Drosophila melanogaster: one gene and its partner. Changing the gene in region 1 together with any one later gene gives a genetic interaction. Each region holds a gene or a part of one and is shown on either strand. Other genes may lie near its edges. The genes, in order: e(r) and r.

What was found.
Region 2: of e(r) (region 1) and r, changing one enhances a phenotype caused by changing the other (phenotypic enhancement), as found in Drosophila melanogaster (3 studies listed by BioGRID).

The regions. Positions count from the first base shown.
Region 1 is NC_004354.4:8,896,626-8,912,244, reverse strand, and holds e(r) (enhancer of rudimentary), read left to right. Parts: upstream 1-5,996; 5' UTR 5,997-6,136; intron 6,137-6,254; exon of another isoform or gene 6,255-6,476; intron 6,477-6,656; exon of another isoform or gene 6,657-6,740; intron 6,741-6,860; 5' UTR 6,861-6,866; coding exon 6,867-7,181; 3' UTR 7,182-8,101; downstream 8,102-15,619. Other genes in the region: Rbm13 (RNA-binding motif protein 13), read right to left, coding at 8,888-9,043, 9,434-10,247, 10,319-10,365, 10,433-10,447; Uros1 (uroporphyrinogen III synthase 1), read left to right, coding at 12,185-13,018.
Region 2 is NC_004354.4:16,653,367-16,669,512, reverse strand, and holds r (rudimentary), read right to left. Parts: upstream 14,155-16,146; 5' UTR 13,904-14,154; intron 13,423-13,903; exon of another isoform or gene 13,354-13,422; intron 13,129-13,353; 5' UTR 13,116-13,128; coding exon 12,357-13,115; intron 12,293-12,356; coding exon 9,041-12,292; intron 8,976-9,040; coding exon 8,871-8,975; intron 8,616-8,870; exon of another isoform or gene 8,442-8,615; coding exon of another isoform or gene 5,804-8,441; intron 5,675-5,803; coding exon of another isoform or gene 5,058-5,674; intron 4,326-5,057; coding exon 4,186-4,325; intron 3,479-4,185; coding exon 1,654-3,478; intron 1,577-1,653; coding exon 1,193-1,576; intron 1,129-1,192; coding exon 919-1,128; 3' UTR 801-918; downstream 1-800. Other genes in the region: CG13012 (uncharacterized protein), read left to right, coding at 71-200, 289-472; CG15865 (uncharacterized protein), read left to right, coding at 5,058-5,674, 5,804-8,441; Nemp (nuclear envelope integral membrane protein), read left to right, coding at 14,646-15,377, 15,445-16,077. UniProt on the Drosophila melanogaster protein: Multifunctional protein that encodes the first 3 enzymatic activities of the de novo pyrimidine pathway: carbamoylphosphate synthetase (CPSase; EC 6.3.5.5), aspartate transcarbamylase (ATCase; EC 2.1.3.2) and dihydroorotase (DHOase; EC 3.5.2.3).

The DNA of each region.
Region 1 (15,619 bases):
AAGTGGCGCATCAATCCCAATGCCCTCTAATATATATATATATATTTTTAATATGAAAGTGATTGTATCTTAACATCACAGGGTGAAGAAATATTCTTAAGAACTACCAAACACGATAACAAAAGAAGTGAAGTAGAGCACTCTAGTAATTGCATATCTTTTAAATAAGTGCGTAAAAGTATGCAGCAGAAAAGTAATTCATTGTATTTAATATGCCTACAAGTATGCCACAAAAGGAATAGGAGTAACATTCATTGGTATTTAAATATTATTGCTTATATTAATTTCACCTTAATTAATTTTCACCTTGTTAAAAACTGAACGTAAAACCGGCTAGCTCTTTCAAGTGGAAACTAACACGGTACCACTGCGACGGTCACTCCAAGAACATTTGTTCTATCCACATTTGTGCCTTCGCAGAGCAGCAAATAATGCTGAAATGGGTCAGCGATTTTCGGGGGCGACATTGTGACGATAGGAAGGAAGCCATTCGCACGTGCTGCTCACCTTTTGGTAAATCGAATGGTAAGGAGGGGGGGTTGGGGCATTGGTGGTCAGTGTTGAATTTGCCACGTCGACGGGAAACGCCTTACTCAATTGAGGTAATCAAGTGCTCGTATTACCTAAATTGTGATTAAAACTATTGCCTGTGATTTGGCCATTCGATGCTGTGATTGCTTATTGCTGGCTATTGGCTTTTCAACGTTGTTATTTTATTGATTTTCAAAGCTAACTCGTTTTGTATCCTATAAAAAATTATAAGTTAACAATTATTGGCTTAGCTGCTTGGCTGCGTTTCCGCAAAATGCCCCCCCAAATGCGCCGTTTTTGTGCCATCTTTCCCATTTTGTTTTTCACACAGCTCATAAAACCATAAAATAAAAAAAAAAAACAAAAACGAAACAATATTTTAAATGAGCTAAGCTCGCAACGAGCGCGATTTAATGAGCCATTTCAATGCCGCGCAGCCTGTGGAATTGTTTCCCAATCCAAAACATTTTTTATGCATTTATCCGAACATTTGTTTTTAATAATGTTGTAAAATAAACAAAGCGAAAAATACGTAAAGGTTTTTGTTTTTTTTTTTTTTTTTTTGCATATGCGACGCAAAACATTTTGTTTTAAAACCCGGGCGTAAACATTTTTTACACAAATTATCAAATTATTATAATTCATTTAAGTGGAACAAATATGTATATCTTCATTGTTTGTAAATACATGCAGTTTTAAAAGCTATCGAAATAATAAATTTCACAATATCATACTAATTTTTTTTATATATATAAATCTGCCAGCAAGACAAAGTGCCAGGCGAATAATTAAGTCTCTGATTAGCTCAACTTGCAGTGCATTAAAAAAAAAAGACCTAAAATTCTGTTTCTCGACTTGCAATAAATCTTTCACTTTCACAAAAGTTGCAATAAAAGAAAAAATAAAAAAATAAAAACAGGGGTCAAAGCTGGCAATTATTTAAGTGCACCTTAATTGAAGTCGTTGCACTAACGATAATTTGAAAATTGAGTAAGCAAAAAATAGAAATAAAACAAACAAACAAAAACCAGAAACGTGTGTTTGCTGATGAATTGCTTTTCGCGGAGCATGTGGACGACGGTCATTGCCAAGGGCGTGATACTTTTGCCGGCAACTGTGACGAAAACAGCGGCAATTAAAAAATAAAAGGAAAAATACGAAATATTTATGTATTGTACATACGTATATAAAAAAAAAACCAAAAAAAAGGTGTCAACTCAGACAACCTTCAATGGCACACAATAAAAATCGGCGACCAAAGAAACCAGAAAACAATTGGCCAAAAAAAAAACCAAGCGGAAGAAACGAGAAAATCAAATTCAATCTCAATGGCAACGAATTTGTGATGCTCTTTAAAATGAATGGTATAAATACATGTGTTCTTTAACGTATATTATTACCTTATTAATAACTAGAATATTAACTCTATTTATCTGTCAGTTAGCAATTTGTAGTTCGCAGAAAAAAAACTCTCAAAAACCTATTGCTAAATGCTCTAAACCTTTAAAAAAAAACCCAACATTTTCGCACTAAAAAAAACTTTAAAACTTTAATGTACACTGATTCCTATCAGTTGAATGCCCGTTTCGTTATAAAGTTTTTTTTTTATGTTGGGCCAAAAGGCAACGACCAAGTCGACGAGTTTTTTTTCGAGGCGGCAAATTCGTAATGCAGAATAAATAACGCATAAATACAAATCCACGATAACAGCCAAATGCGGTAGCACGACAAAATAAAACAATAATCATAGCCCAGTAGAAATGCGAAACAATTACGCCAAATGTGGAGAAACCAAAAAACGAGCAAGAAAAAAAAACAGTCGTAAAACGTAGCAGCAAAAAAAAAACAACAGAACTAGAACTCTGTAGACTAACAGATACTCCTTGTTCTGTTCAACCTGGCTGGTTTGTAAGAATACAAATTTTTTTGGATTTTTTTGTGTAACAAAACTTGCAAAAAGAGCACAAAATTTAAACAAAATTACCAAATTTAAAACCAAATCGTTTGGCATTTAAAAAACAAGTTTAAGTTTCATTTCATTATTTCGAGTGCTCAAAATACTGATTATTTTTTACACAAAAAATAGGGAAAACAATTTTTGGCCAAAATTCATATTTACGATTGGTTTTTTCTGTATAACTTGGCTTAAAATTGGCAGAGAGCCAAAAGAACTACCGTTTTTTACTCCTAATTGACAATACTAACTATCCATATCCGTTTTTTACGGACTTTGTAAAATTAATTTTTGACCAAAATTTCGCATTTTTTGTAAGGGGTAACATCATAAAAAATGAAAAAAATTGAAAAAATTTACATTTCCAACTTTTGAATACAGTTCGATTAAAAATTTAAATACAAACTCAGCGATGTATGGCATTCCATAATCAGACAAATATTTTTCAAGTTGTGGCCAAAAAAATAGATATTTTATGACAAAAAATAGTAAAAACGGGTTTTGTCAAAAATTGAAATATTTTTGATTGGCATTTTAATCATAACTTGGCTAAAAATGATCATAAAGCTGAAAGAATAACTGTTTTGGGCAGCTAATTACCAATGCCAAACAGCCCTATCACTTTTTGACGTATTTGAAAAAATTAATTTTTTAAGAAATTTTCGCATTTTTTGTAAGGGGTAACATCATCAAAATTTGGAAAAAAATTGAAAAAATTAAAATTCCAATTTTTGAACACAGTTTAATTGGAAATTTAATTACGAGCTCAACGAGGTATGACATTCCATATTAAAAGCAATTAAACCAATGGAATTGTACAGATATACAGATTTAAGAATGATTGTTTAAAACATGAGTGCTGTTTAACTGTCATTATAAATATGAAACTATCTGGTTGTTAAAAAATTTATATTTCTCATCCGGGTAGTGGGAAATTAGCGACGCACCTTAAAACAAATAACAATACGCCTACAAAGTCGTTTATAATAGATACACAGCTTTTGCACACTTTTGACGATAAAAACGATGATGTTTCAAACACATCAGGGGCGCCCACGTTCTTATCAGTTGAGAATGTTCTTTACTTATCGGCGCCGTAAAGCAAACACTTTTCAAAAACGAGCGTTAAACAAGACAAATTATTACAGATGCTTAGATGCGATAATTGTAACCTAATTGTGATTAATTGTAACTAAATGATTAAAATTAAAATAAAAATCACAGTTTGAATGCACAAAATTGAAATAAAGTCGATTTCTCCATTTACAAAAACTTGATATCTCCATTTGGAAATTCTAATTGGTTTGCTCTCCTGCCTTTTCTGCTTCCACTCTCTCTCTCACTTCCAATTGGAATTGGGGACTAACGAAATGGAATCAAGTTCAAGGCCACGATCGATTGATTGCCATCTCTGTCGCACTTGTTGGATGTGACTCACCTGCTGATTGGAATGAAGCTGCGCTGCTCCTCCTCTGCCGGCGTTGCCTCCTCATCGACGTTGGCAGAGGCAGCGACCTCTGACGTCACGGGGCGGTAAATCAAAGGCTTCACGTTGCGTTCGAAATCGTCGAGGAAAACGACATCGTGGACGGGAATAATGCGGTGATCGGTGACGTTGAAGTGGAGATCGCGAAAGGGGCCGTTGAAGAGGCAGCGCAACGGTGACGTCACCAGCACAGCATCTTCCGGAGGTAACTGTAAAAAATGTACAATATTTGTTGTATTTTAACGTATATCAAACATTTACTGATATAGTTTTATATTAAATCAAATACACCGCAACAAATCTCGTGCAAACATCAGATAAGATATTGATACGATACGATAATTAGTATAATATTTAAACAATGCGCAGTCAGGAGAAATATAGAATGGCTTATCAATTTTAAAATAAAACTAACGGAAACAGTAATATTGTACATATTTCAGTTTCAACTCAAAGCATAAGTTTCTCTGTAGCCAAGACACCATTTGGTAAGTTAAGAAAACTATTAAGTGGACGTTTTTTTTTTTACCTTGATTTTGCCATTGGTCGCCGAGAACATTGAGATTTCGAGATTTCAGCGATAAGAGATGAGCAACAACACAAATCAAATAGAATGCACAAGAAACACAGATACAACACCCACACATGAATGATCGTGCAACGGTGTGCGCAGAACAGTGAAGAGGAAGCAGAGAGACGAAGCAGAGGCGACAAATTGGACACGCGTGCGTCGCGTTGGTTGGATTTTGTGTTTTCTTATTTGACTATTGCCTTTTCGGTGCTACTTTAACGGGTTTCCCCGTTTCACAGCCTTTATCATCTTATTTTCGCAGGGCTTTTTTGCTTTTCAATTTACTGCCTGGGTTTCATTTAACTTCGCTGCTCTTCTACTTCATTCATTATTTGATTTGTTTACGTTGCTATTTCCCAATTTGTTTGCTTCTTTTCACTTCATTTTCTTTCAATTAGGACGCACACAAACACACAGGAAAAAACAAAAAAAAAAAAAGAGAGACACGAACGCCACTTGCACAATTGAAAATAACAACAAATTAATGGGAACGCGCGAAACACGGGCTGCTGCGGCTGCGCCTTCACTTTTCACTAAAACAAAAAGCACGTAAATAATGTTGAGACGAGATTTTGCTTTTTGTTGTTGATTTCTTTGCCGATCGCTCTGCCGCCGCTCGACTGCGCTGCCCGCGACACCGCGCTCTTCCAATTGGTCCAATTGAGATCAAACAGCTGGTGGGCACTCGGATCTTCGATTGCCGCTGTCTGGCAGCACTGGGAACAGTGAGAACAGTGGCCAGACTGCGGAGCTGGCGATGGGCGATAGTTTTGTTTCATTAAAAGTAACTTTTGACTTTATATTAAATACAATACTAAAAAATGTAAAAATATGCTTTTTAATATGCACTTTAAGTGAAAATGATTGTACATTAAGTTTACTTCATAAAGACTTTAATGACCATAATTTGTTGATGGGCGTTAATTTTATTCTAACTTAAATAAACGTAATACCTAATATTTATATGTAATAACAAAATAAAATGAACCTAAATAAATAATGCAATCCACTTTAATTTGACATTATAATTATAATTTTTTTATAAATATATAAAATAAAAATAATAAATAAATAATTTCCGTAGTTATTGTAATGTATTACTATGATGAGTATATGTTAAAAGCTTTAGTTAATTTTATTTAAAAAATCTGAAGACTAAATATGGAATGAATTACGCCAAATGAAATGAAAATATGCATTGAAAAACATGCTTTATACCTAAAGGCGTAATATACATAAAGTGTGCTTTTCAATAAAAAAGTGAATGAACATAATATGGAATCAAATACATATACAAATTGAAATGCAAGTATACATTGATACAATTAAGTATAAAAAATCACAATTGTCATTTAATTTGGTAAATATTATTAAACAATGTATATCAAATAAAAGATGTTAGTATTAATCGATATCTTTCGATTATTTTGTCACGGCGAGGCACGCAGCGAAGCGCTCATCTCTAGCTTCAGCCTCCTCTTCAAAACCCATAGAACTGGCAAAATAAAAAAAAACGAATCAAGCGCTGATTTTACCGAATCTCTTTACTGAATCAGCATATTATCATAGTCCATATAGTCCGGCGTTCGAACGGGTAAGTTGAACACTAAACGGGAGACATGGGAATTATTTAAAATTCGAGAAAAATCGGTGAAAAGGAAGAAAAACAAGTGATTGCATACAGTTAGTTACACACACGCGGCGGCCGTTACTCCTTGTACATGTGTGTGCGTGTCTGTTCGCGCTTCCGAATGTTTGTGTTTTAGTGAAGCGGCATAAGCGTGCATTATCTTGTACAAATGTACGCATTTCTCCATTGCCAACATTCGCTTCACACACAAATTACTCGTTTTCCATGCTGGAAGTGCCATCTTAGTCTATTTCCCAGTTGCAAATTGGAAAATCAAAGAGCGTTCTGCTGGCCAGCATGTGTGGTGCGCGTGTATTGGTGTTGCGGCGAGAGCGCGAGCGAGATGGGGCGATGCGTTGCATGCGGCAACAGCATATCTCTTCCATCTCTTTCGTTTTTGTTCTTTTCCTTTTTTTTTTGTCTTTTTTTTTTTTGCTGACAGCTCTCTATGCTTCTAATAAATATTTATGCACAATTTTTGCAGAGCTGGCGAAGTAAACTTCAACTTCGAGAGTCTCGGAATCTTTCGGACTTTGCTATAGAAAAAACGCTTGTTAAAAAAAAGGATGTAAGTGATGAAGATGAAACGTAATGTAATGAAACGCACACTAGTAACATACATACATACATATCGCTTGAGTACATAGATCACCGCCAATAACATTAATGTTCCATTTTTGCCTTGCAGATCACCATGTCGCACACCATCCTATTGGTACAGCCGGGTGCTCGTCCGGAGACCCGCACTTACTGTGACTACGAGAGCGTCAACGAGTGCATGGAGGGCGTGTGCAAGATCTACGAGGAGCACCTGAAGCGCCGCAATCCAAACACTCCGACCATTACGTATGACATTAGCCAGCTATTCGATTTCATCGACACAATGGTGGACATTAGCTGCATGGTTTACCAGAAGAGCACCAATACCTATGCGCCCTACAATAAGGATTGGATCAAGGAGAAGATCTATGTGCTGCTCCGTCAGGCGGCATTTAGTTCCAATACCTAAAGGGACGGCGATGCGACAAGATACATACATATAAAACCAAATAACACGATGATGCATGCATCAATGCGTGCAACACTAACGACAACAACACGTTGATGTATGCAACAATGCGTGCAATAGCAACTACAACAACAACAACAATACGAGGATACATGCAACAGCGCTTGGAACAGCATCCGCAACGGCCACAACACCATAACACCAATAACACCAACAAGATGAGGAAGAAGAAGAAGATGATGATGGAGTGGTGGGGCATCGATTCCATTGGAGACTTGCTGCTACCGACTAGATCGCCAAATGACAGCAACTTTTTTTTGCAACATAACGCAATGCAAAAAAGGAAAAGGAACACAAAGAGAACGATAAACTGTATAACTTAGAAATGGAAAACTTACTTTAAACGTACTAATATATATATATATATATAAATATATATATAGGCGTATATATATATATATACTGTATATACACCCAACTGACAACTGTGTGTGTTTTTGTGTGTTTCAATGTTTTTTTGTGCGGCAGCCACAGGTGACGGTTGTTCTTATCGATAGCGAACTGTATGTTTGTTTGTTTGTAAAACCGAATGGCAAATTTGCAAGTGTGCATTTTTTTTTTGTATGTTTTGCCGTGTGTGCTAGCTTAAGTCTTTGCAATCTATCGAATAATAAACTAACACATCAGGACACACTGAGCATATATAAACATATTTGTAAACTACTGATTCCCCCCCCCCCCCTTTATCATTTGAACTTAGTTAAACAACAACTTTTAGCCCGCTGATTTTGCACACCGATGGGCTTTGTGGCGTTTTAACGGCTTGTTTTAAGCAAAACAGAACCTTTGGTCGCAGATGCGAAATGACCTTGAGATGCTGGTTGTTGTGTGTGTGGTGAGGGGGGAGGGGTAGGGGTTTGTGGGTTGTACCCCCGCCAGATATTCAATCGGATAACGAACTTGGACCGCCGCTGAATCGCTTGGCCGCACTGCATTGAACTTGGCGTGCGATATTTAATTAGCTCCGCGACAGCATTTTGTTAAATATATATATATATATATATATATATGTATATATGCACATTTAGTGTCGACTTGTGGATGCTGCTTACTAGCGTTAACTAGCAATAAACATAGTGTTTATAGTTTACCCATTATATTTGCTGAATATTAATGATCACTAGATTTCTCATTATTCAGACAAATATATTTGTTTGTGAAAAAAGCATTTGCTACAGCAAACTGTACAGTTTATTACAAAAATATGTATATATATTTTCAAAAAAAAAAAAAAAAGAATTTCTCCTATTTAAAGTAGTTTGCTTGCCACGCAACTCCGCGCTTTTTACAGGGTATGCAATAGCGCTACAGCTGCGTCGAATATGGTGCATAGTTTTTTTTTTTAGAATATTTTTCAAAACTGGTTTTAAACACTGCATTGTCGCCACACCGCCCCGCACCGCCCACTTTCAATGTCAGTTAGCCAGCCTCGCTTTTTGGCCAGAAAGCAAAGCGAATGGGATGCAGATGAAGTGCATCCTGCATGAGATGCATTTTTCGGTCATATAGTGTTGCACTTGTCTAGTTTTGTTTTTTTTTCTTTCTTTTTTATGTAAAATACTATTCTTAACCGGCTAAACAATAAGCGTTAACAGCTAAGTGGATTGAGCATGGGGGGGGGGGAGAAATATATATTGTGGACCTGGCTAATGGCGCATCTGCCGCTGTGCCTCCTTCTCCACCTCATACTCGTACTCCAGCTGCAGTTTGGGCTTCGAGCGGCTGCGTCGACTGTTGCCCGCCGGCGATTTCTTGTCCTTCTTCGCTTTGCTGGCGGTTTTCTTGGCTGGCACTTTGGTCTCCTGTTAGAATGCAATTGTTCGTTTTAAGTTCGGTTTGGCAATTGGAATTTAGTTTTGTTTCGTTTTAGTTTTCTTTTTTTTGGCAATTTTCTGGAGCTGTTAGTTAGCGCGCACTGAATGGAAACCGACGCAACTGAATGAAAAGCGGCGAACGGCGCTCGGAAAGCTTTATTCTCCAAGCTCCAAGCGGGCAGAACTCGTTTGCTATTTCTAATTATGGTAATTTCGGAAGAAGGTGGCAGGATTTAAGCAATTGCCAACTATTTACATACTCAGAATTTTCAATATTAAAAGAAATTCATTGAAAAAGGATTTGGAAATCGTTAAATGCTCCAGAAAACTGCCAACAAAATAAAAAAGAAAAGCCTGATACATGACCAGAAACACTACCTCAATATCATCTGCATCCGCATCGTCATCCTCGTCGGACTCCTCGAAATCGCTGCCCACCTCGACCTCTTCCCGCTTGCCGGAATCGCTGTCGTAGTCGTCCTCGTCATCATCATCATCATCATCATCATCCTCCTCCTCATCGTCCGTATCTGCCTCGACGAACTCCTCGTCGAGCAGGGATCTCTGTACTTCCTCAGCTTCGCGTGAATCGTCGCCGTCCACCTCCATTTCGCGCTCCAGCTGCTCCTCATTCTCGTCTTCGTCGTCTAGCTCCTCCTCATCATCCTCGTCCACGCGTTCCGCCTCCAGAGCCTTGTTGAAAGCGGTCTGCGAAAAGTTGTAGATGTCGCGATAGGTGCCATTCTTCAGACGATCCATCAGCGCCTTCTCGATGTGATTGTCGATCTTGGCGGCCACCAAGGCCTTCTCCTCGCGCCGCGCCTCCCGCCGTTCGATCTTCGTCGATAGCGGCACAATGAGCTTCTGGCGGCGCAACTTCAGACGACGCATTCGTATCAGATATTGGGTGATCTTGAGGAAACGCTGCTTATTCTTGGCGATCATGTATTTGGGCCAGAAAACCAAATTCTCGTTGATCTGTTCGATGGCCTTCTCGAAGTTTCTGGACAACTTGATCCTCTCCCACAATTTGCTCGGCATATGCGCTCTCTCCGCCGTCTTGATGAACAAATAGATGATGCCCTTCTCCTCGCGAACGGTGGCATATTGTGAATTGGCCAGCGGACACGTTCTGCGTGTGCACAGACCCGTGAGATTGTACTCATGGCGGCAGAAGGTGCGTGTGTCGGTTCTGTGTGATTTAGATTGCCATTGAATACATAAATTTTCTACATAATTATAATTAACTGCATTTCAACTCACTTCACTTTGTGCGAACAGAAGGACTTGTTGATGATGCTCCAGACCACCTGGCAAATTGATAATAATCTGATTAGGACACCAACAAATGTGCATATTCATACACCTGCTACTCACATCGTCGTGCTGCATGGCGCCGTTTTGTTATTAACGAAATGCCTTCAATGATAAAAAACAACCAACTTACTTTGAAACACGTGCAAATTCAACACACAATATTGCGCTATCGATAGCCGTGTGCCGCCGGTTGGCATTATCGATAGCACCGATGACAGTTGCAATCGCCAGCGTGGCCAGATGGCAATGAATTCAAATTTCTTATATTCCAATTCCCAATTTATATTGAGAAAGAAAAAAAAAACGCACTTTTGTGTGTTAATAGCTTATAAAATTAGAGCAAGTTCTTTATTAGCAGTAATGTATTACGTGTCTTCATCCATCTGGCAAATGAAATACAATTTGGTATCACAATTAAATTCGGACATATATTGGGGATCCACCGCAACGCAGGATTTGCTGTGATTGGTTTTATAACTATGTCTTTGGAATATCGTTGATTGCTTTCCAGAAGCCAGGGATACGAACTTCTTGGTTTTCAAATCATTTATACCCGTCCAGTACCACCAGAACTTCAATCTTGCCTGAATGGTCTTAAGTTCCTCTTCGTTCTTAAAAGCTGCCAAAAAACCGCCGAATTCGCGACATGCAGCTGCCGCATCAGCCCAGGAAATTTCCACATTATTTTCTATATAGAATGATCGCTTGCCAATTAACGCAAACTTCTGTGGCAGAGGCTCCACTGTAGTACTGGAATACATTTCTAACAGACTTTCGATTTTGTTGCTGGATATTTGAAAACGGGATTGCGTTCTATTGCGAAACGCTTCCTGTTGGGCATTTTTTTTGCTGTGCAATTTCATTTGCTGGCTGGATAAATCCGTTTCTTTGTGTGAAATCGATAAGATTCTGTCCAATTTGGAATTGATTTCACTCATTAAATCAATCATAGAAAGCTGATTGGCTAGACAGGTTTCTTTTTTATGCAGTGGCTTGCCCAAGGATCCTCGCAAAACCAGGACGATCAATAACACAAAATATGAAAGCTTCATCATTTTAAGCACACACTGAAGAAAAACTTAAAAATAATAAATTTTTTTAGTGAAAAATTATTATTATTTTACTCTGCGTTGTCGCATCGATCAAATCTGAAATAGTTCTAAAGAATTCCGATGTATTCTGCTCGAAATACGTAAAAACTCTTGATTCATTGGAAAAATATCTGATAACGAATGTGAGAAAATACCCATGAATAAGTTAAATTTACATACTCATGATTAAGTTGTATTTATATGTGTGAGAAGATATTCTTACTGATAATCTTACAGTTTCCAAAGCTGGTTTATAATAATGCGAATGTACAATTGTAAAATTGTAACAATCAAATGAAATATTTTAAAAATCACAACAGTGTGGCCACCCTTGGGTAGTCGCCAAAAAACAGCTGATTATAAAAACGGCATATAATGAGCAGAAATAAAAAAACAAAAATTAAGTAAATATAGCAAATTAAATCCTTTAACTTCAAAACAAAAGCATAAATTTAAAATATATAAACAGTAATGCCGTTAGCTCGACGATCTGGCAGCCCTGCGGACAGCCGGCACAACAGCTGATTAGAGGGAGACAGCACGAGGCTGCTGGTGCACAAAATTCGACTCTTATTTATATATTTTTATTTTCGCAATAGAAGGCGCAGCAAAGGCGGCAACAGTGGGCGGGGCAAGTAAGCGCTGGCGGAAAACTCGACAAAGGAAAATTCAGCACACAGTTTGCGTCCGATCAAAGTGAGAAACGTGAGCCAGCAGCAAGATGACGAGTCGCCAGCGAACTGTGATCATATTCAAATCGGAATCGGAAAGCAGCGATGTGTACGCAGAAACGCTGGAGAAGCACGATTTCAATCCCGTCTTTGTGCCCACGCTGAGTTTCGGCTTCAAGAATCTCGATGAGCTGCGCGCCAAGCTTCAGAATCCGGATAAATATGCCGGCATCATATTCACATCGCCGCGCTGCGTGGAGGCCGTGGCTGAATCCCTCAATCTCGGCGAGCTACCCGGCGGTTGGAAGATGTTGCATAACTATGCCGTCGGCGAGGTGACCCACAATCTGGCGCTAAGCACCTTGGACCAGCTATTCACCCACGGCAAACAGACGGGCAATGCCCGGGCATTGGGCGACTATATAGTGGATACGTTCGATGGATCGCGTGCATTGCCGCTACTATTGCCATGCGGTAATCTGGCCACCGATACGCTGCTATCCAAGCTGGCCGAGAATGGCTTCTCCGTGGATGCGTGCGAAGTGTACGAGACGCGCTGTCATCCCGAATTGGGCGCCAATGTGGAGAGGGCATTGGAGATTTATGGCGAGTCGATTGAATTTCTTGCCTTCTTCTCGCCATCGGGCGTCAATTGTGCACAGCAGTACTTCACCAGCCGTCAGCTATCGATGGACAAATGGAAGCTGGTGGCCATCGGGCCGAGCACTAGGCGTGCCCTCGAATCGCTGGGCCAAAAGGTTTACTGCACCGCCGAGCGGCCGACGGTGGAGCATCTGGTCAAGGTGCTGCTCAATCCGCAGGACAGTCGGGAGCGGTTGCTCAAGGAGCGCGAACGGATGGCCGCCATCGAGAATAACAATTAATCCTAAGATTTCTTAAGCTTTCGCAGCTCCAACGGCTAATCTCCACAAATCATCATCGGATCTATCATTTATATGGATACAAATCCAAGTGGGGAGTTCTTATGGCCTGAATCTTTATAGTTATCCACAAGTAACTATGATGAACACAATCTGTAATTTCTATTTTATAAAATAAGATTTTCCATCATCGCATTGGTAGTAACAATTTTGAATAAGTTATGTAGAAAATTTCGAGCTTTGGTTGTGATTCGATTCGATTGATTAGTTATCTTTATAATTTCGAATACCTGTACAAGTTTTTCTCTATCGATTTGAAATCCAAGGATGGGTAATTAGTTTCCTGATCGAAACGTAAAAAAAAAGACTAAAACTCATGGTTTTTTTTTTTGTTTTTCTTTTTTTTTTATTTCGATTGACCTCCGAGCGAGTACAAAATTAGCGGCATGAAATGCCGACGTCTTTATTTTCTGTTTACTATTGGATTAAGCTGAATAAATTGTTTCTTTTCTAAATTTAGTTGGTCGTCTTTGTGGGTCAAATAGCAAATAGGAGGTGGCAACGAAGTGGAGTAGAATTAAGCAATTACAATTAAATTTAAACAATTTGCTTTGGAGTTTTCACTTGATTCTATTATTGGGGTAACTTTTTAATTTTTTTGTAATAACTTTAAAATAAATCATAAAGAGCACTTTTTTGTTTTCCAGAATTATTATTTTTAAATAATTTGTTTTTTTATATATTAATATAAATCTACACAAAGAAAAAGGAATGAAAGGTTTTTTCAAATTTAATTATAAATCGGCTTTTGAATTTATGCAAACAGTGGCAACGCCTGGCTTGAAGATTTACACGGCGCTGCCAGATCGATCATTTGCGAAGCGGCAACCTTCCACGCGATAGTATCGATTAAGGTTCCATCTCCTTTTGTTTTTCGTTTTGGCTCTTTTTTTTGCGTTTATTTGATTTTTCCTTTCGTTTGCGAAGCAACAGGAAAACAAAGAAAGCTCACGAAAAACACGCGGCAATTGGATAAGAAACGAAATGTAAGTGGAAACCAAAATAAAACTACGAAATTCCAAGACATAAGATAAAAGCGCAACAAGCCCACACACACACACACAGGCACGCGGCTCTCTTTCACACACACACACACACGCATACTTGCACACACCGGCAAAAGTTGAGCGTTGGAAAAAAAAAACGGTTTTTATTGTCCGCTTATTTTTTCATTCGTGTTGCGATTTGCTTAACGACGGAACTCATTTTTTTTACGTGTGTGTGCAAAAATAAAACTAAAAGGAAAACCTACGAAAAAGGCAGGAAAATAATAAAAACACAAGTTTTTCTTTTGCCGGCAAGCAAAAACAATAAGTGCTCTGCATGCGTGTGTGAGTTTTGCATACTTTAACTGTCTTCTTTTCATAATTTGTACTCTAAATAATAAGAAAGAATTGTGGAACAAGCGAAGAAAGAGTGTAAAGCAAAAACGCTGAAATACCGGTATGTGGCAGTGTGTGTGCGAAAGAGAGGGGTAGAGTGATTGGAGTGTGAGTCATTAACCGGCATTAAAAAAAGCTAAAATAAATAGCCACTTTTCAAATTAAAAGTCAATACAATACATTGTTACAAATGAGTAGTAAATTCATTTACCTTGCCTCCCTCTCGCACGCACAGTAAAAGCCTCAGAAAGTCGGTTAAATAGTAATACGGCGTTAGAGCGAGAAAGCGCTAGAATTTTGGGAGTGAATTTTTAATTTTTCGGGCAGCTGCTCAAAGTCAAAATGCGTGTGGGATTTGGTGTGTGTGTGTGTGCGTTTAAAGCGTGTGAAAATTGCAGCCGCCACTCCAACCACCGTTTTTCCCAAAGTTTTTCACCTTTGTCTCGCCCTTGTCTACTCCCCTTCGCTCCATCCCTTTCGCACACTTATCCCATTAGCATGAAGTCGCATTTTCCAGTTAGAACATCGCGCTTCCAGTTGGAACTGCGTAAGGCGCTTTTTCTTCCAACCAGATTAACTGGCGATCGGAGATGGCTCCTAAAGTAGCTAAGAATGAAATAGCTGGTATATTTTGCAAAAAAAAAAAAAAAAAAAACAGTTTATTCTAGATTTATTTGTAATTTTTAAAAGGCATTTATGATAACAGAAATAAATATTTTTATATGTTATATCATTTAAAAGTATTTTTATTGGCTCAAATAATCATAGGACTATATATAACCTCGGTGCGTAGTCACGTTTTGTGGACCCATCACTACTCTGATATCATGACTAACTGGGGATCCAAAGCTCATCGCTATCGAAGCAGTTTGATGGCCCGTTTTTAATACGGGTTCGAAGAGCTGTTAGAATTTCCCGCTCTGCCACTCCCCACCCCCCTCCCCTGCTATCTATAACGTGTTTGATTATTTATTATTATTGAACCGGGACACTTTCAAGCTGTTTTTATGCCTCTTCGATTCCCCGATGTCTGCTTTCTTTTGTGATTTGTCACATAAACTGACTCAGCCGATTTGTACCATTAACAAGATGGCAGATTCAAGATCAGATGCATATTGAAAATACATAAAAAGCTCCGAAAAAAAGTATTCGTTTTTAAATC
Region 2 (16,146 bases), 7.7 Mb from region 1:
TCACCTCCAGTAGTCCGTCAATCAATCATTCACTCGCTCACTAACCGGCGGCTTTCTCTCGGTTTTGCAGTTACCAAGGTGACCTCTGATGGGGAGCCGCACGGCATGATGACCATGGTGGCCGGATTATCCGGCCTTTTGGCGGCCATCATCATTTTGGCCGTCCTCGTGTCCATGGTATCTTGTCGCAAGCAGAAGAGGTAACAGCATACATACATACATATGCTTAGCCAATTATATAGATAATTGCATATAATATTCTGATTTTTGTCGTTTAAAAAAATGCAGCACCAACCGGAAGAGCAATTCCTCCGCCAATGTGGTGGCCATGACCAGTGTGGCGCAGGATCAGCCCCAGTTGGCCGGTAACTTGAACGCAGCGTTCGCTGAGAGCACTCTGACCTTGGACAAGGTCAAGCAGGACACAGAGGATCAATGGCGACCCACAGCCGTGGTGGTGGAGCGGTACTAGTGGAAGCAGGAAGCACCAAGCACCACCGTCAACCAGCGGCACATGGGCACGTGATGTTTATTGTAAACGTTTGAGACTGACACTTAGAATAAGGATTTCCATCACCATCTTATAATTAATCTATATAACATATGACACCTTATTTTTTTTTTTTTGCTTGTTAAAATATTATACTGCTATACTATGAAATATGTGAAAATATATATTTGTTAGAATTAAAGGGAAAACCGTAAAACTGTTTCACATTTTCCAGAGAAAGATATGATTTTTGCATGTTTTGGATGCAGATACAAGTATTATATGTTCATCCATAAAGACACAAACAATTAACCGAAATGGATCAAATATATTCGTATGCAGCTGCGTACATGTGTGGTATAAAAAAGATAGTATACAAAAATAATAGTAGAGAGTCAAAGATTGTGGGTTTTCCATGGGTAAATCCTCTAGAGCGCCGTATTGCGTCCACCAACGACCATGGCCAGCAAGGCCATACGGATGTACATGCCGTACTCCGCCTGCCGGAAGTAGGCGGCCCTTGGGTCCGAGTCGATCTCCCGGCTGATCTCGTTCAGACGCGGCAGCGGATGCAGAACAATCGAACGCTTCTTGGCCCGCATCATATGCTCGGGCGTCAACACCAGATGGCCACAGCACTGTCGAAGGAAAGCAGTGGGAATGAGCAAGTAGTATAGCAAGTAAAATTGAGACCCTTTTTACCTTCTCGTAATCTTCCACGTTATCAAAACGCTCGCGCTGAATGCGAGTCATGTAGAGCACATCCGTGTCGGGCAGCACATTCTTTAGGTCGCGTGCAAATAACTGCTTGACGCCGCGCTGATGGACGAACTGGACGACCTCATCGGGCATCTGCAGGCTATTCGGCGCCACATACTGCAGGTTCACATTGTACAGGGTCAGCAGGCGGGCCAGCGAGTGCACGGTCCGTCCGTTCTTCAAGTCGCCCACCATGGTGATGGTCAGCCCGTTCACAGTGCCAAACTCCTCGCGGATGGTGAAGATGTCCAGCAGCGCCTGCGTGGGATGCTCACCGACGCCATCGCCGGCATTGATAAGCGGCTTTCGGGAGAAGGTCGCTGCGCGCTGTTGGAAATAAAAAAAATTAAGTAGATAATGGATTCAATGGCATATAGAACACGGTTCCACGGACTTCTACTCACCGCTACAGCTCCGGGCGATGGATGACGGAGCACCACGACGTCGGCATAGCTGGACACAACCTTGATGCTGTCCTCCAGGCTCTCGCCCTTCTTCACCGACGACGTGATGTTGTCCATGCTGATCACTCGCCCTCCCAAACGCAGCATGGCAGCTGCAAAGCTGCACTGCGTCCGCGTGCTGACCTCGTAAAACACACTGGCCATGATCTTGCCTGGCAGCAGCTCGTCCACCGGACGATCCTTCGTACCCCGCAGCTTGAGCAGCTGTGCCAGGTTAAAGATGTCGTTGAGGTGATCTTTGTTGAACATGTCAACGGCAAGGATGTGCTTGCCCATTAGCGAGTGGGCCACCGGATTTGAGTTGGTAGTGCGCTGCAAGTATTCCCGCAGCGTGGTGTTGCTGGCGGAATCCAGACGGATGCGTGGGGATGGCGAGTTGGGGCGCAGGAAGTTGGCTCCGTCCACAAAGTGCACCTTGGTCGATATTCCATGTACGCCTCCACCGGGTCCTTCGGAGGTGAGGAGGCGGGTAAAGGTGTCATTGGCATCGTTGTCGCTGGGCAGCAGATCCTGTGATGCCTCCGACGCCAATGGACTCTGTTTGGGGCGCACATTCTGCCCGAAGCCGGGCTGCACCAACACTTGGCCATCGACGAAGGCCACCTCGCCGCGAAGAACCACCCGGTGGACGCGTCCCTTGACCTTGGTGCCCTCAAATGGTGTCCAGCCGGACTTGCTCTTCATCTCATTGCCCGTTATGGTCCACTCCTCGTCGAGATCCACCTCCACGTAGGTCTGCGCCTGATCCGGCAGGTTGAAGATGATTTTTGGATTGCGATGGAACTTCCTCTTGATGTCCTCCATCGTCAAACGACCCTCGTGAACAGCCTGCAGGAGGAGCGGCAGAATGGTCTCCACGCCCGGAAATCCAGGCGGTGGACGCTCCGAACGTTTCTCGGCCAGTGTGTGTGGCGCGTGATCGGTGGCAAATACATCGATGTAATCAATATTCTCCCACAGAGCCTCTTGATCCTCCGGTGAGCAGAGCAATGGCCTTACCTCGGACATTCCGTGACCCAAACGCTCCACATCCTTGGTGCTGAGGAACAAGTGATGGGGGCACACCTCGCAGGTCACCTTGACGCCCTTTTCCTTGGCGGAACGAATCAATTGGATCTCCTCCTTTCGCGCCACATGGCAGATGTGAACCGAACGGTCGAGAAGATGGGCCAGCATAATCACAGCCGCTGTGCTCTGCCTCTCCGCATGACAAACGATGGGAGACCGCTTGGGCCAGTGGCTGAGATGCCTCTGCCAGCTGGTCATGTCGCTCAGTTTTAGGGTGCCGAAAGTGTCGTTTAAGTACATCTTAAGGCCACACGCATGACTGGCCAGCTCGTTGACCTGCGCCCAATTGTCATCCGAGGCCCCCACATACAGGGCATAGTCGCATCGAGCTCCCGCTTTGGCCAGCTCCTGGAACTGGGTGAACGTCTCTCTGTCCACGATCGAGGGATTTGTATTGGGCATGGCGCACACGAGGGTCACGCCGCCAGCCAGAGCGGCTGCTGTTCCACTGGCAAAGTCCTCCTTGTGCGTGGCTCCCGGCTCCCGCAAATGCACATGCACATCGATGAAGCCCGGCAGCTTCACAATTCTACGCGAGGTCATACAATCCGTGTGCGTCTTCATTGGCGGCTTGCCACCGTTCATTCGCATTGATTCTACCAGAAGCTTGGTGCACTTCACATCGGTCACCAGCGGAATGGAGTAGTCCACGGCCAGGCGACGGGTGCGGTAGCCATGGGTCATGAACGAGGAGACCCTGGAATAGTATCAGGAAATCACATTTACTTGGAGATACATATGTACATATAATCAAAAGGCACTGCCTTAAAACTAACAACTATTAATTCTTCAACTAATTGCTCTAATTTTAAAAATAAGAGAATAGCTTGCGTAAAAACACACGGATAAACTGACATACGGACATGACAAGATATACTTTTTAGGTTTGGAACTGTCTTCAATTTTATAAAAAACACTAAAAATATATCGTTCGGATATCAGTTTTACTCCACACAAACGAAAATTCTTTGCACTCAGTTATAAGTACTTTGCACTCCAATTGGACTTTAAAGAAAATATAAATAACATTTAAGATGTCTGAGCCAGATAAGAAATGGAATTAAGACAAGCCCTTTTTATAACTTAATAACTTAAATTATATGCCAAATTGTTGTGCAAACTGTGTTCAAGGCCCAAAAATTCCAGTGACTAACATTTGTTTGAATATTGAATCATTAAGTCGTTAATACCCCTGAAAACAGAACTTTTATCAAAGTAGGTTAGCTATATAAATATGCATATCCGCTACAAGAAATATGTTATATATGTTTTATAGGTAAACACAATTAGAAAACAAATACTATTCGCACTTGCAGACTTCTTCCTGAAGTTCCATGGATCACCAACTTAGTGGCATATATATTTGGGGGCCATTAAAAAGAGTCACCATCGAATCGTACTCACCGCCTGGCACCCCCGCCGCTCATCGGGAGGTTGATGACCAGGTCGAACTGCTTGTTGGCCAGGAACTCGGCCAGGTGTCTCAGCTCACCGTTGATGTCATCGGGAGTCGTCTTGTCGAATGTCCACTGCACGGATTCCACCTGCAAGGGCAAAAGCACACATATATACAATATTTACTCGTACATAGACATAGATCATATACAATGGTATATATATATATATATATATATAGAGAATGCGACCGACCGATCATCACCAAGGCCACATGTCATCGTCATCCGCGCCACCAACTCTACTTCCAATCAATTGTTTGCCCAGAGTACACCATATAGATACCATTATTTATGGATCTTTCATGTCTACATCGAAGACAATAGAGCAACAGGCCATGGCAATGGCACAGTGGTGCAGATATGTACGATCTTACACAATAATTCCAAATAAATCGAACTTTGAACATTTGATATGTGAATAGTGGTAATAAGATATATTCAATCGAACTAAGAGTGCAATCAGAAGAAAATCTTAAGTTACTATTTTAAGATAAGAATTCAATAGATCAATTTTTATATTATATTTCCTTTGAAGACCATCTATTTTAGACGCCTCCTTGAGTTTTTTGTCTGTTTGTGCGGCACAGTGAAGTGGAAATCAATTCCGTTTTCATGGAAGCACCAGGAACTGGCTGATAATGGATAATTGGGCCGAAGGAGGTGGTGGCCGGAAGAGTCGTTCAGCTCTTATCTTTCCGATTGCCATTACTAGATCGCAGATCGCAGGTAATTGGTAATTGGTGATTGGTGAACTCCGATCGCAGATTGTACACTTTATCAGCCGGAATTCAGTCACAAATCAGCGATCGTCCGTTGAGTATGGGCTGCTCCTGGTCGCGATCCGAGCAGGTGGATTCCAGTGCCACGCCCAATGCCCTGCAGGCGGGCATTCCCGCCCAGCGCCAACAGAGGAGGCGGCGCCAAGAGGAGAAGCATCTCCGCCAGCTGCAGAAGCTCCAAAAGCGTAACGCGCGTAAACGTCGCCGAAAGAAGGGCGCAGGATCTGGATCTGCCAGCGCCGGAGGATCTTTCCTCGGTCGTGGTGGATCGATTCACAGACGACACATCAACGGAAAAAGCCATCCTGATCTCGCCCTGCAACTGCGTCTACTGGGCGGCAGCAATGGAAGCACGGCCACCGAATGTGTCAGTGCCCTGTATGCCAGAACATTGGAGCAGCAGCGCGAGGAGTTCCAGCGGACCGTGGAGCAGAGGACCCTACACCAATTGGACCGCGAACTGCACACCTTCCTGCTGAACCAATTGCTTCTGGGTATCCAGTTCTTTGGGCACTTCGAGGCCGAGATGGCCGTGGTCGATGCCCAAATCGTGGCCAGGCGACGCAACTGCTCCGCCGAAAAGCTGGCCGAGCACAGCTTGCTCCAAAGTAGCGCCATCGATGCAGCTGTCGCCAGGAACCTGCTCTTCAAGCCGCCGTAAGTCTTTTCCTTATCCTCTCTCCATACTTTCTAGATTTTTCTATACTTTTTTGCCTACATTTTATGATCTTCTCTTTTTTCATTTTAAAATTGGTTTTTAATATATGTATTTATAACCGATTTCAGATCTTCGAAGAGTCCACCACAGCTGCTGCAGAAACCCGTGACCTATGTGGTCTTTGAGAACGTTGACGTGGCGCGACCCCACGATGCCAACTACGACACCGTGGCGGCACTGTGCAAGGTGCTCCTGGAGACGGACTACTACCGGACCACGCCCTGCCCCTCGGAGCTAGTCAACTTGATGGAGATGACCAGGTGGATGGGCTATGTTCGCCTCAAGCTGCGCGACCAATTGCCGCATCCGCAGGCGGGCACGCCCACTAGCTCCAGCTTATCTTTGCCGGCCAGCAGCGATGAGGAATGCATCTACGGTGATGTGGGATCCTCCGCATCCAACTCCCCATCCTCGGGCTACAGTTCGGGGGACTACGATTATGTCTACTTGGCCAGGTTGAATACTCCGCGACCGCTGGAGGAGCTGCGATTTGATCGCGATTTCAATTTCCAGAGGAATGTCCTACCTGGGAATTGCATTCGCCGTTTGGCCAATTGTCTGCCTCCTTGGCTAGAGCAAACCGACGACGAGGAGTCATCCTCCGCCGCCTCCAGCAGTGACGAGGACGAGAAGGATGAGGCGAATTCCGATAATCGCAAATATCCACCGGCTGGCTATGAAACGGTGGAGGTGCTTCGCCAGTGTCATGTGGAGCAACTGCAGCAGTGCTACCTCAGTTCGCAGCAGTTCATGTTGTACTTTGGAGAGGTGCTGCGTCATCATTTGGCTAACCAATTGGGCATCAGCCAATCGCAGCTGGCCGCGTGTTCGTATCGCGGCTGTAGTGTATATACCGCTCGCGAGGAGCTGGTGCCCGCCATTCATGTGCCCAATTCCTGGCCGGATTGCGCCTTCGAGTTTTGGCTGAGGGCTCGTCCTCGTTTGACCAACCTCCATACTGCCGAACAATTCCAATGGCCAACGGAGCAGATGAAAAAACGTATTCGATCCATGGGCTTCCATGTTGTACCAGTGGGCTATGCACCAAAGCGTTCGCGAAATCCCTTCAGGGAACTGGAATGGCGCATTGTCTTTCCCCAGGCGGAACAGTTTCTCGAGCGGCACTGCCTGACGCCCATGCAATTGAAGGTGTTCCAACTAATGAAGCTGCTGGTCAAAACCTTTGTGGACGAATCAACCACATCCTGTGACCAATCCCCGGGAGCTTTGCTCGAACAGCTGAGAGCCCATATGTTTTGGCAATGTGAGCAGCACAGCAATGATTGGCCAGAGGAGTTTCTGGGCGAGCGATTGGTTCGATTCATTCGCTCCTTCGACGCCTGTTTGGCCAAGAAACACCTGAGCGACTACTTCATTGAGCGGCGCAATCTATTCGAGCATATCCCAGAGGATACGCTGATGAAGCTGCGCAGCATAATGGCCGGAATTGCGGAACAACCGCTGCTGCATGTCATCCAGGCACTGAGGAATCTTCAGCACGCGCCGGAATTCTACCCGCAACTGGAGTACAAGCGACTGTTGGAGAATCTCTTTAGCCAGGATTACCTGGAGCTGCACGGACGGGGCAAGTTCTCGCGTCCACGTCAGGGATTTCCCGCTCTGCAGAACTGTGAAGAAAACAATGGCGGGCAGCAGGTGGAAACGAAAAAAAAAACCGAAAGGACGGAGATCACCGATGCCAAGGGACTCTTGGGATTGGCTCAGCACCAGGAGCGCTCGAGAGGAAAGCTGCGCAGGAAGACACAGCTCTTAAGGGCCACGACTCAGCAATTTCAAATCTCGGCGACGGAACAAAGACGTTGCTCGCTCGACTCCCTGGATCGCCAATTGCTATTGGCACGCTCCAATCCGGAAAGTTCCAAGAGCCAGGAAGCAGCGAAACCGCAACTGAACAACGGCTTGGAGATCCTGCGAAGGAGCAATCTGATCGAACTTCTGCTGGATCATTCGCTGGCCATGTTGGCTCGTGCCATTCGGTTTGGCAACCGTGGACATGCACAGCTTTATCTGGAGCATGGGCAAAGATTGTGCCGCCTTTATCAGCACCTCGGTTGCTCGCAGCAGGCACAGCACTTCGTCCAGGAACTACAGAACGCAGCCAGCGATATGGAACGCATGTGTGAATCGCATATACCAACGTCATCGGGCGGCAGTCCCTCCACGGTGGTTGAATCTCCGCCAGCGCCAAGGAAATCCATCAAGTTCCAGGAGCATGTCGTGCAGATACACACTCCAGAACCGCTGGCCATGCAGAAGCATATGCCCCATCTGGAAAACCATCAGCTCAATGGGATTCTAAGAGCTCACCACCAAGAGGATGCGAACGCCATTGAACCCCTACAGGAGGAGGAGATCAAGAGCGCGTTGCTTCGGGAAATAGAAAGTCGCATAGAAGAAAAACCCAATGTCCAAAGAGATAGAGAACCAATAGATTCTCCTGAAGTGGATAGCCTTAAGCCGCAAACGGGAATCAAATCAAAATCGGAGGAAACAGCCAAGGAGGAATCATTTCTCTCGCTAAACGGAATCCTTCAAAGGCTCTCCCTCGACACGGATAAGGTGCAAATGCTGGGCAGCAAAACGGAGCAACTGGTCCAAAGAGTAGCCCCATCCGAGGCCAAGCGGGATGAACTCAAGGAGATCCTCAAGCGCAACGCACAGAAGCTCAAGGGCGCATTCAACTAGAGACACTAAAGATAATACTACCATATAGTAGCCAAATTGCTAAATCCCGGCGATTAGTGATATATTGATATATTGATAACAGATAAACCAGTTGTGATAAGGGCGGTTAGAGATAGAGATAGAAATATATATATAGTTATGGGCCATAATTATTGTCCATACCATGTGCGCCATATATATTTTCGTAATTAGTAATCTTGAAATCAACGTAATTTCTCTATGATAATAATGTTATTGAATTTGTAAACCAATGTCATGGAAAATAAATAATGCAATATAAACAACCGTTCAATTTGTAAACCAAGTCAGGGAAAACAAATAGTAGGAAATGAGTATTGAAACTACTCAACTTTGTTGACTCGCATCTCCAATGGATTTTGATTAAAGTTGCATGATATACAATAAGCACACAGACATAAATATACTCACATTAACTCCGTGTTCGGCATAAAAGTCGCCAGTGCCCATGGAAGCGTATAGCTTGTAACCCATCTTGGCCAGATCCCGTATGGAAGGCAGCAGCTCCATCTTGTGCTGCAGATGAATGGAGTTATTAATGGAGTAACTAATATCAATAATCAATGGAGTGGCCAACAAACCTTGAAACTGCCAATGGAGAGAAGTACGGCGTTCTTGGGTATCTGGAAGCCCGTGGACATCATGGCCTTGAGATACGCCTCATAGCGGTTGTCCCCGAAGCAGGCAACCTCACCGGTGGAGGCCATCTCGACGCCCAGCTGTACATCCGCGCCCGCGAGCCGCGAGAAACTGAACTGTGGCACCTTGACGCCCACCTTGCCGACGCCATGGAGCACATCCAGTGGCTCCACATCGAGTCCCACAATCGCACGCGTCGCCGTGGCCACAAAGTCGTGGTCCAGCGTCTTGGAGACGAAGGGGAAGGATCGCGACACACGGACATTGCATTCGATGACCTTCAGCTCGTTGTTCTTGGCAATTAGCTGCATGTTGAAGGGACCGGTGACATCCAGTACGCTGGCCAAATCGCATGTGATCCGTTTAATGGCCTCCAGGGTCTCCGCATTCAGATCCTGCGGTGGGGTAACCAGCGTGGCATCACCTGAATGCACTCCGGCATTCTCCACGTGCTCCGAAACAGCCATGCACAGGATGCGTCCATCGGATGCCACTGCATCCACATCGATCTCCTTGGCCTCGGTGAGGAACTTCGAAATGACAACCGGATGCTCGCGACTCACCTCGGAGGCGGCGTTCAGATATGTCTCCAGATCCTGATTGGAATAGGCCACATTCATGGCCGCACCGGAGAGCACATAGGATGGCCTAACCAGACAGGGATAGCCAACCTCCTCGCAAAATTCGATGGCCGACTGTAGGTTGGTCAGCTCCTTCCAGCGTGGCTGCAAGATACCCTTCCTGTCCAGCATGCGCGAGAATTTAAATCGATTTTCGGCACAGTCGATGGACTCCGGCGATGTGCCCAACACCTTCGCCTGCTGGCGATGCAGATCCATGGCTATATTGTTGGGCAGCTGGCCGCCCATGGACAGAATGATGCCCTCGCTATTCTCCATCTCGTAGATGTCCATGACCACCTCGAAGCTAATCTCCTCGAAATACAAGCGATCGCACATATCGTAGTCGGTGGAAACCGTTTCAGGATTGTAGTTAATCATGATGGTGGGTCGCTGTAGCTTCCTCAATTCGCGCAGGCAGCCCACGGCACACCAATCAAACTCCACTGAGGATCCGATACGATAGACGCCCGAGCCCACCACAATAGTGTGTCCGCCGGGGAAGTCCACATCGTGCTCGCTTCCGTTATATGTGTGGTACAGATAGTTGGTACTGGCGGGCCATTCGCCGGCCACCGTGTCGATCTGCTTGACATGCGGGCGGATGCCAAACTCCTGCCGCTGGTGACGAACAGCCAGCTCCGTGCTCTTAATGTACTTAGCTATCTGCTTGTCCGAAAAACCAAAACGCTTGGCCTTCAACAGCAGAGCGGCATCGGTTCGACTGCCATTACGGGTGAGCAGGGACTGCAGTAAGATGATCCTTTCCAGCTTTTCCAGAAACCAATAATCGATATTGGTTAGTTGATGCAGCTCCCTAAGGCTCATGCCCAATTGCAAAGCAGCGGCAATGACGAAGGGACGACGATCCGTCGGCTCCGAAAGCTGCTCGGCCAGCTGCTCCTTGTTAAGCGGAACCACATCCGGATCAAAGCCAAGCACATCGCTGTCCACCATGCGCAGGGCTTTTTGGAACGCTTCCTCGAAGTTGCGACCGATGGCCATCACCTCACCGACACTTTTCATCGAGCTGCCAATGTGCTTGCTAACCCGCACGAATTTGGCCAAATCCCAGCGTGGAATCTTGACCACACAGTAATCGAGGGATGGCTCAAAGCAGGCCGTCGTATTGCCCGTCACCGAGTTCTTGATATCTGGCAGGGGCAATCCCAAAGCCAACTTGGCGGCCACATAGGCCAGTGGATAGCCGGTGGCCTTGCTGGCCAACGCGGAGCTGCGCGACAGTCGGGCGTTCACCTCGATAATGTAGTACTGCTCCGAATGGGGACACAAGGCGTACTGAATGTTGCACTCGCCAACGACACCAAAGTGACGGATAACCTTCAGGGCGGTGCTGCGGAGCATTTGGTACTCGCGATCCGAGAGGGTCTGCGATGGGGCCACCACAATACTCTCGCCCGTGTGGATGCCCAGGGGATCGAAGTTCTCCATGTTGCATACGGTAATGCAGTTGTTGTAGGCATCGCGCACCACCTCGTACTCCACCTCCTTCCAACCCTTCAGGGATTTGTCCACAATTAGTTGGCTCGAGTGGGCCAGTGCCTGTTGGGCCAGGCTCTGCAGCTCCTCCTCGTTGTTGGCGAACCCGGAACCCAGTCCGCCCAGGGAGAAGGCAGCACGGGCCATCACCGGATAACCCAAGCGACTGGCCGCATCCAGTGCCTGGGCAACGGAGTACACAGCCTCAGATGGCGCCACCTGCTCGCCAATCTCGTTGACCCGCTCGGCAAAGAGCTTGCGATCCTCCGTCTCGATGATCGACTGGATGGGTGTGCCCAAAATGCGGACATTGTATTTGGAGAAAACTCCGGCTCGCTCCAGTTGCACGCCACAATTGAGAGCGGTCTGGCCGCCAAAGGTGAGCAGTACTCCGTTCGGACGCTCCGACTTAATCACCTGCTCAACATAGTGAGGTGTTAGGGGAAGGAAGTAGCACTTGTCGGCCATTCCCTTAGAGGTCTGAACGGTGGCTATGTTCGGATTGATGAGCACTGTTTGAATGTTTGATTCCCTCATGGCCTTGATGGCCTGCGATCCGGAGTAGTCAAACTCGCCAGCCTGACCAATGGACAGTCCACCGGATCCCAGGATTAGGACTTTGCGCGGCATCACTGGAGCCGAATCTATGGCAGGCGTAGTCGGACGCAGTCGCTGCTCGATCAGCTGCGGAATGGTCAAATCCTTCTGTTGAATGCTCTCCATAAAGACATCGAACAGGAACTCCGTGTCCTGCGGTCCAGCATGATGCTCCGGATGGAACTGAACCGAAAAGTAGGGCTTGCTGGCATGGACAATGCCCTCGTTGGTGCCGTCGTTGGCATTCACAAATAGCTCCGACCAGCCGTCGGGCAACTGCTCCAAATCGACCGCGTATCCGTGATTCTGCGACGTCATCAGGCAACGTCCAGTTGCTCGGTGCAGGCAGGGCAGATTGTGTCCTCGATTGCCGTACTTCATTTTGTAAGTAGAGCAGCCGATTGCCTTCGCTAACAGCTGGTGACCCAGACATATTCCAAAGACGGGCTTTTGACCCTCCTCAATCACTTTTCTCACCTAGAAACAAAAGATTAGTTAAATTAGCATTATATTCTATCCAAATGATTCAATTGTGACCCACCTGTTGGACGATCTGGTCGCAGCTCTCCGGATTACCAGGTCCGTTAGACAGAAAGAGGGCGTCGAACTGCTCATCCTCGAGACGAGCGCTCCAGGGGAGCAAGGTCACCGAGGCGCCACGTTGCAGCAGGCAGCGCAACTGGTTGAGCTTCAGTCCACAGTCCAGAATGGCGATCCGTGGTCCCTTGCCATTGGGATTACCGTACACTTGTCGCTCCTTAACGCTGCACTCCTTGGCCAAATTCCTGACGTTCGGATCTACGAAACTGGACTTGGGCAGCCCTTCGACCGGCGGTTTCTCGTAGACAATCTTGCCTAGCATGCTTCCCTGCTCCCTCAGTTTTTTGGTCAGGGCTCGAGTATCAATGTCTTGAATTCCGGGCACCTTGTGCTGCTTCAGCCAATCGGGCAGCGTCTTCCATTTGCGCCAGTGAAATGCCTCTTCAGCCACCTCGCCCACCACCAAGGCGGTGGCCTGGACGACGCCTTTCATCCACTCGAAGTGCAGCGGCAGTCCGTGCTCGTCCTCATCCGGCGCTGGTACCCCATAGTTACCGATCAGTGGATAGGTAAGCACCAGGATCTGACCACTGTACGATCGATCCGTGAGCGCCTCCGTGTAGCCAACCATGCCCGTTTGGAAGACCACCTCGCCACCAAAACCCACTTTGGATTCATTCTCCGAGGGAACGTAGCCAAAGGAGTACCCGGGCAACACTGTGCCATCCTCCAGTGCGAGGTAACAGTCCGTAGAGGCCATATTGGACGAGTTGCTGGGGAGGATTGGAAACCATAGGGTATTCTTTAGTACCTGTCACTCGAAAACCGTCTTAAATAAACGAGCAAAGTTAATTAATTAAAAGATCATATCTCTACGAAGGCAAGTAGACACAATATTGAGTCGAAAATCTGATAACAATATTCGGCGACTCTGGGAACTTTACTTAATGAGTATATGCTATGACTATGCTATATGTTTACGCAGAGCGCGTGCATACCCTCGATTTTAAATGTAATGTAATATAATTCCACAGGTTATCTTGTTCAAAAAACACATGTGTTTATAAACACACCGTCACACGCACACAGTTTGCCGGCCCAAGAAAATATACAAAGAATCCAATAGGAAGCCGCGATAGATGAATGTATGCATGTATTTAACTGTCTGGCAACATGTTGAGCGGGGCACAACACGGTTCTGATTGGGAATGGACACTGCTTATCAAGCGTTTCAAGTTCCTGTTGTCATTTGATATTGCCATTCACGGTTTGTTTACACGATGACTAGCGGCGGAGAAGAAAGAGGAAGAGCGAGTGTGAGAGGGTGCGTTTTGTGTGTGCGTAAGCACGTGTGAGAAGTTTGGATCCAATTGGAAACCGGTTCGGTCAGCAAATGAGAATAACAATAACATTGACTTTAACTTTGAATTGGACTTTGGGCAGGAATTGAGGATTAACCAACTGAGAATCCTTAAGCTACGATGCATTAGTATCGCCATCAAGTTATCCTTTTCCCATCTGCACCCGTTACAACTACAGCTCACTTACGATTCCGTGTACTTTCAAGCGAAGCTCTCTCTTTGCTGCACTTGTAGTTGTGAACACGTTTTGGTTTCGACTTTAATTCGATTGACAACTTGATTTGTTTACTTTGCGACACCGCTTTTAGAGCTGGTTAACTTCGCACTGCTCGGATATGTTTAGTTTGAGCATTTAACTGTGTTTGCTTGCAAATTGGCTCCAATTAACGTCTGGAAAATCAAAGTCGAACAACTGAATTCACCGCCTTGGTTGAATCGGAATCTTCGTGCATTATGTGCTAAAAAATGCCACAGCAAGAGCTTAGCTCGGCGGTGTGGAACTTTACTAGAAGTAATATTGCAGGTTGGGAACTTGGCAAGAACGTTATATATTCATTTATTGTTATGAATAAGATAAGATATTTGTAATAATATTAGCAAACATGTTTAAATGGGGTGTTCTGCAAAGTATTCCAAAGGAAATAAATAATCCACAATTAAATGGTTAGTCACAAATTTGAAATCACAACAGTGTAGTCACACACACACCTATCGATACATTTTTCTTACGTTACGATATACTGCCCGTCCCGTCGTGAGTGAGGACATAAACCAAAGCGGCGTTGCTTTTTCATTCGATTCCTTAAAGTAAAGTAAACATCAAAACATCAAGCATAAGCAAGTCAGCATTTAACAAGCGAACGTCCTGCGAGAGCAACAGACTGAAAGCGCACTGATTGATAAGATTAACGCCATTGCAACCGTTCATAATGCATTCGGCTGGACTACTGATGCTAACCGTGGCTGGATATTTCACATCGGGTATTCCTGGCAATACGGCTTCCTCGGACGTCGCCTACCTGACGCCGGGCACATACATCAATTTGTCGGAGAACATCTTGGGACTGCAGACTCTGCGCACGTTCTGCTATCCGGGTAAACGGCTGACGGTGTCAAGTCTCTTCGAGACTGTGGAGTTCGTCCTGGCCATCGGGAGCGATGATTATTCCCAGTACGGTGGGAAGACGCCGGAGGAGGTGTTGCAGCACTACAAGGACAAGCAATCGCTGTTCAGCATCACCCTGTTCGCGCAGAAGCGCCAGCTGCTGCAGCTCTCGCCCTTCGAGCAGCAGTGCATCGGGATTTCCTCCCGCCAGGCGTACACCGTCATTCTGAATAGCATTCCGCTGGATCTGTGGCGTCTCGCACAGTTCGCCGTCGGCATACTGATCCTCTTCAGCGCCCGGCGGCTAGCAAAGAACAGTGTGTTCTACTATCTGGTCGGCATTGTCATCGGCATATGCGCCTCCCTGCTGGTGGTCATCTATTTGGCCGCCAAACTCTTTCCGCGACGTACCATGATGTATGGCGTCCTAATTGGCGGCTGGACCATTGGCTTCTATGTGATCAAACAGCTGGCGGACAATCTGCGTTTGATTCTGATCACCTACCGCGACCATGTGCTGGGCTATCTGGTGATCACCGGACTGATCTCGTTCCTGGTGCGTAGTCACTTGATATTCCCTTTTGATTAGATAACCCCAGCTAATTGCCTCGATTATTCTACAGATCTGCTATCGCATTGGTCCGCCCAAGAATCCTCGATCGCAAACCATCGTCATGTGGGTGCTGCAGGCCATTGGCGCCGTTATGGCTTACTTCAGCAGCTGGCACACCAGCGCCGTGATCTTCATCATGGTGCTGGTCTTTGTGGCCCACTACTTCCCCATTTCGTGGACGAACCAGATCAAGTTCATGTATCGCCGCCGTTTTCCGCTAAAGAGGCGCATGCTCACCCAGGAGGAGTACGAACAGCAGACGGCCGTGGAGACCTCGAAATCGCTGGCGGACCTGCGCAAGTACGTCAACAGTCCGGAGTGCAAGCAGTGGGCGGTGATGGGCAAACTGCGTGATCCTTTGCGCTTCGCCTCGTTCGCCAATGGAGCACCGCATCTGGACGACGAAGAGATCGAGGACCACTCGCGCACCATCGAGGAGTCCATGGATGCGGCGCCCGAGGAGGAATCAGTGGAGGAACCTGAGGAGGATAAACCAGCGGAGTTACTGCCGCTGCCCAACTCGCAGTTCCGCTATCAACAGGCCGCCCGCAACTCGGAGCCGGAGCCGGAGTCGGAGTCCGATGACAGCGAGGAGGAGGAGTTCTTCGAGCAGGAGGTGGACCTTCGGCAAGTAGTACAATAACGGACGAACAGCTCAACCACAAGGGGAACCACTGATTAGGCTTAATTGAAACCATTGACCACCACGTTC